2 linked regions of the Coturnix japonica genome follow. Each later gene encodes a partner of the first gene's protein in a complex. Links are inferred from orthologs where the notes say so. Each region holds a gene or a part of one and is shown in the gene's direction. Other genes may lie near its edges. The genes, in order: TRAPPC9 and TRAPPC12.

The links.
Region 2: TRAPPC9 (region 1) and TRAPPC12 share a complex: the UniProt entries of both Homo sapiens proteins name them as parts of the multisubunit TRAPP (transport protein particle) complex. The link is inferred for Coturnix japonica from reciprocal best matches to the Homo sapiens genes TRAPPC9 and TRAPPC12.

Annotation. Positions count from the first base shown.
Region 1 is NC_029517.1:130,719,834-130,722,960, reverse strand, and holds part of TRAPPC9 (trafficking protein particle complex subunit 9), read left to right. Parts: intron 1-2,115; coding exon 2,116-2,295; 3' UTR 2,296-3,127. UniProt on the Homo sapiens protein: Functions as an activator of NF-kappa-B through increased phosphorylation of the IKK complex. May function in neuronal cells differentiation. May play a role in vesicular transport from endoplasmic reticulum to Golgi.
Region 2 is NC_029518.1:85,500,538-85,503,539, forward strand, and holds the end of TRAPPC12 (trafficking protein particle complex subunit 12), read left to right. Parts: intron 1-1,910; coding exon 1,911-2,153; 3' UTR 2,154-2,267; downstream 2,268-3,002. UniProt on the Homo sapiens protein: Component of the TRAPP complex, which is involved in endoplasmic reticulum to Golgi apparatus trafficking at a very early stage.

The DNA of each region.
Region 1 (3,127 bases):
ATAGCAATCAGTTTGGATCTGGCCCTCTGCAAGCAGATCTGGTCACGTATCACTACCTGCCTCACTGATTCTTCCCACTTACAGTGAAGAAATGAAGAAAAGGTGAGTGCTGAATAGGCTCATGGCATAAAGGTGGGGACTGCTAACACATAGGCAGAACCTGAAAGAGATGAAGAGACCGTGTTGATGTTGATGTGCCTGAAGACACAACCTTTCTGCCTGTCAAGAGCTGTGATTAGTGCTTTAACAGATATTTCTCCATGGGGCAACTAGATTAAGGAAAAAATGGACTGGGGGCTTCATTTGCTGCTCATCTCCACCCATTACTTGCATTAGTGCCTACCTCTGTCCTTCTCTGCACGCATCAATTCCAGTTAGGCAAAAATAAGGCAAGCAGCCCAAGCAGGAGGAAAAGGGAGGAGGAGGGGAGACTATTTGATGTTCTGCATGTCCAGACACAATGCCAGAGGGCACACGCTTGTACCCAGCGAGGAGGTGAGGTGCCAAGGACGTGGGTCAGTACAACAGCTGTGACGGCTCTCATTACTCACTAGGACTGTACGATGCTGACACAAGTTTGCTGTAGGTCAGCAAAAGTGATTGGCACCAAAGCCAAAGGGAATCTGGGCTCTGCCAGCTCTGATGATACTAACACTTGTGAATAGCCAGGTTCTGGTGTAGGAGCAGGATTTTAGGCAGCAAAGAAGCCTAATATCCCAGGTGGCTCTAAGGGATACATGTCTGCTGGCTAAAGGGCCTGGCAGTGAAAGTCCAAAAAAGCCTGGAACAGAAGAAAACAGAAGCAAACAGCTCATTTCCCAGTGATGTCCTTTGCTAGCATTTTTTTCCCCTGATTCCAGTCAAGTCGTGCACACCTGGACAGCATAGTGCTTGTGGATGCAATGCCAGAGTTTCCTTGGTAGGTGGGTTTGGGTCTCAGCTTGGCTGACCTGTGTTGTGTCACAGTCAATTGGAGTCAGCTCTGGACTCTGTATTGTGATGGACACTGAAGGGTTTGGGGATGACTAAAGAAAGCCCATTATCACTGAATATTCAAGTAAAAAGAAAGTACATGGGCACAAGCCTACCTGGGGGAGTAGGGTACTGATATCTTGAGAAATTATTCAGGGTCCAGAGAGCAGAATGGAACTGGTAGGATGGTCTTGATAGAGTGAAGACTACTACTGAGGAGCATCAGTTGCCATTAATTGAGTCTGTTCTGCTGGACTGACATTGTCTCTTCACAATCTCTCAAACAAATTCCATCCAATGGTATGACTTTGTGCCAGCTCAGTGTTTCATATCTGCAGTAACTTTAACCTGGTTCTAGGCATTCTGAAAACGGATTTAACATCTTGTGGAAGCAGGTGTTTATTGAAACAGTAGAACATGCTGAATAATTGTAGGTTAAGCTTGATAAAGTTAAAAATTACTCGAGTGTGTTGCTGAAATGGTGGAGCAAGAGATGGGCAATAAAGATATGGATCATAAATGGTTTGGTGATGAAGGGAGATATATAAATGTAGACAACGGTGCAGTGTTCAGTTTGGACAGGTAAAAACCCACTGTTTTGGGGATATATCCCATAAACTTATTTTGGTGGGAGCGAATATTAAAGATTTCTGATTAGAATTTGCAGTCAGATTGTGTCTGCATAATAAGTGGGGGCGAATTTAGTTACTGCTAGGTTGTTAAATGGTGTTTATCCATGTGTTTAGCACGAGTTCACAGCCATGATTTAGACCTTTAATGTCAATTCCGATGAATGCAGTCTAAGGGAAGATGCTCCTGATTATTCAGGACATTATGGGTGGCTTTTGCCTTAAACCAAATGGGCTTTGAAATCAGTGACTACTGGAGGTCTTCTGGTTTGAGCTGTGCCACATCACTGCTGCGTGACTGAATAACACAGGATTTTAATTTCTCATTTTACCATTGCTAGAATAGGGTCAAGAAATTTACTTCGTTTTGTGGGAAGGTGATAATGAGATGTTTAATTTATGAATATTTCTAGAGTGCTTTGAGATAATTTTAAGGAGCTACTGGCTTGCAAAGTGCAATTATTTTGTTTTGTTGCTTGTTTAATTTTACTGATTTTCACATTTGCTATTGCAGGTAAAGCCAACCAAAGACTCTGTGTACTTTGGAGCACTTCTTTTCCTCTACACGGGCGATTTCTATCTGAATATCAAATTCCATGAAGACAACTGCAGCAAGGAGCTGCCTCTCTCCTGGTTCTGCCTTCCCAGTGTCCACATCCGTGCTGTGGAGCCTGTGGCTGAAGCTAAGCTGTAAATGTGCTGTGTGCTATTTGATTAACAGCAGTATGCAGAAATGCTTGGCACATCCTCTGCTTGACCCCAGCTTGTTTCTGTCCAACCCCAGGCCACAGTCCCTATTTTGGAGGAACAGCTGAATGCTTTCTGGATTGTCTGATAGTCATTTGGGCAGCTGCTATTGCTAATTTCAGAGAGAGAGAGAGATTATAACCATGCTAGAGTTTTCCACTGATTCCAAAAAATCTTTGAAACTGCTAATATATGCATTATACTTTCATACAGCCTATTGAGATCAGTGGATTTGGTAGAGTCTTAAGTGCTAAATTTAAGAGGTTTGAACTTAACCATGTGTTTGAAGGTCTCAGCTCCAACTTAAATAATCCCTTTTTAGCATTCCAACAAGAGTTGAAATTTCTGTATGAATTTTGTCCTGGCTTACACTGGATTTCCATTACCCTGGAAGAGTAGGTTCTCTGTCAGAATAGTTCTCAGACTTGTTGCAGTTCACTTTTCTGCTGACTATTGGGTGTCTTTGGTGGTAAATAGGAGTAAAGATGCCTTTTCCTATGCTACTGGAAGTAAAAATAGTAAATATGCCTCCAGTTATTCTGTTCACACCCTGAGCTGAGTGCCACTCAGCTCCTGGTAGAGTCACTGCCTTTCCTTCTGTAGATCTATTAAGAAATGAGAAGCTAAAGAGTTTGTCCTTGAGAAAGGAAATAAGTCAACTTCTGGGTTTCCTGGGGCTTACCTGTGAATTTGGGCTTTCATTGCTCTGTTTTATACAATTATAACAGATTGAAATGTTTTCAGGCACTTAAAGAACCGCCAAAATTAATCAGCTGGCC
Region 2 (3,002 bases), on another chromosome or scaffold:
TTCATACATATATTTAATAAGTACCCAGAGTTGATATTGTGCCTGAGTTTTTTAGTATACAAAAGGGTAAGGTGCAGACAAGGATGGGAAATAAAGAACTGGTTTACACTTAGTTGTGCATATAGGCATTCCAAAACATTATGTTTAATGGGATCTTTGGGAGCTTTTTTTCCTGTTTTTATTTGCACTCACTGTTTTTAGCATAGACGTGCATGTCAGAAAAAGTAATGGCAGCTGCCACTGTACATGAGATTAACTTGCTTTCACACAGCATTGAAGGGATATTGTCATTTTAACACCTTGCACATCACAGCCTCTGTTTCCATCACAAAAGGCAATCAAAGAAGAGCAGGTTATTCACATTTTTCATTTACATGTGGCAGCTTCTTGTGAGTGGCTCCTGAGAACTCACACAGCTTACCCCTGCAGCCTCATCCAAGGCCACATAAGGACAGAGGGGACTGAGTTTAAGCAGCCCATGAATTGCATCATTTTGCAGGTGTGAAACAGTGCGTATGATAAACGGTGAGAAATCTACTAGTAAGGGTTCCTGAGGAGAGTGAAAAAGAATATTTGAAAGGGTATATTCCCTTATCTATCCGTTATCTACAGCTGTGAAGTATGAAAGTTTCTGCTGCTAAACAAATTATATATGGCTTTGTGGTGATGGAATCTGTTGGTAACTCATAAAACCTGATGTTTGGAAAAGAAAACGTGGAACCTGATATGATCATTTAAGATATATTAGACTGCCCTATTTACTGAACTTACCAGAAGTGGGTTGTAGGTATCTTTGTGATAGGGTCATTTCTTCCTGTTGCTCGTGTGGAACTTCTATACATAAGCCAGAGAGAAAATGTGTTGGAAGATACAGTGAAAATGTTAAAAAAGCTGTGAAAATGACAACATGCAGAGGCCTGTGAAGTTTCTCAAAGCTGATATCTATCTAGTGTCCTGTATTACAAAGACTGCTCCGAAAGAAATACCTCCCATTTTATTACATAGACCCACAATGTCAGAGGTGGCTATTGGTGGAATGGAAACCTTCCCACCAATATTCCATCACATTTTGTTGCCACGTGACAGATGGCAGCAGAGGGGCAGTCTGACAAAATGACGTCTGATATGAAAGTGTGAATGAAGCAAAGGTGTGGCTCTGAATTTCTCCATGTAGAAAAAAATTCACCCATCAATGTTCATCAGCATTTGCTGAACATTTATGGAGACCAAATCTTAGCCTTGAAAAAAGCAGGCTGAGAGGGGACTTGATCCAGGTTTATAATTACCTGAGGTGTGGGAGCCATAGTGGTGAGTCTGGTCTCTTTTCAGTAGTGTGTGGGGACAGGACTAGGGGTAATGGGATGAAAGTACAGCATAGGAAGTTCCGCACGAATGTGCGGAAGAACTTCTTTACAGTGCGGGTGACGGAGCACTGGAACAGGCTGCCCAGGGAGGTGGTGGAGTCTCCTTCTCTGGAGATATTTAAGACCCACCTGGACGCCTACCTGTGTGATGTGGTGTAGGGAGCCTGCTTTGGCAGGGGGGTTGGACTCGATGATCTCTAGAGGTCCCTTCCAACCCCTACAATTCTGTGATTCTGTGAAACAGCGAATGTGAGCACGGTGAGGCAGTGGGTGGTGCATTTCAGCAGTGGGTCACCTCCATTGGTGCAGATGAACGTGAGCTCACAGAAGTCATCATGTCCTACTGGCACAGGGTAAACCTTGTGAAAAGACGGAAAGGATATAAATACAGGAGTGAGAATCTATTCACGTTACTTGAGCATGCACAGAAAATAGTTCTTAGATCATGGTAAATTTGTTACTTCAGACTTCTTTTTTCCTTTATCATTCATGAATACATACATATGTGTATACACAGTTACTTACTTACGATTTGTTTTTCTTTAGGCTAATAACAACGCTGCTGTTTGTCTTCTTTATCTGGGAAAACTGAAGGATTCCCTTCGCCAGTTGGAAGGAATGGTTCAGCAGGACCCGAAGCACTACCTACACGAGAGTGTTCTCTTCAACTTAACAACCATGTACGAGTTGGAGTCATCGCGCAGTATGCAGAAGAAGCAGGCTCTGTTAGAGGCTGTGGCTGTTAAAGAGGGCGACAGCTTTAATACTCAGTGTCTCAAGTTAGGTTAGATCATTCCCAACGAAGTGTTTTCCTGCAGGGCTGATTTTAAAAGTTGTATATACTCTTGCTATTGTGTAAATGTAACATAAAGTCTATTCGGTTATAAAGAATCAGTGGCATTATTGTGTTGTCTCTTAATACTCATGTCATTGCGAAGACTTTGTGCTGACCTACAGCCGGCTTCACCCCTGCTTAGTTATTCCTTGTTACAATGCATATATACATACACTCCATTACTCAGATTCTTATTTTTGTATGAGAAAAAATGCATTTGACCTTATTCATTTTGATGCCTCCTTTTTCAGTAATTAGTGAGTAAATGATCTGAGCTAATTTCATCAGCCAGAAGTTACTGACCATGTATATTATGGAAAACCCAGTTCTGAAAGCACATTTATTCAGTTGCTTTAATAGCATGTGTCATTTCCCCCAGTCCAAATATTGACTACTGTACCTTTGTGTGTCCATTGCTCTCAAGTGAGGTTGTTAGATAACCATCATACGCAATCACAGGGTGGTGGTTGTTGGAAGGGACCTCTGGAGATGCTATTGCTCATTGTAAGTAATATTAGCCTTCCCTCATCTCCAGCATAGGTCACTTTTTCATCTGGGGGGATTTCTTAAGGATAGGAAGAAATCCCAGTGCATAACAGCCTTCATTGTATCCAGAGGCTGAAAGCACCAAACAAGTCCAGTCAAACAGTTTTATAAAGGCATTTAAATTAATAACACAGAGATCCCTACACATTCTGCTTAAGGTCCGGTGTCTTACTGCTTTCTTATGTGATCTCACTTCTGCAACTCCTGTGACTCTTGTGTAAACTGGATTTGCCTTTTCCAGTTGTAAGTAGTCTCAG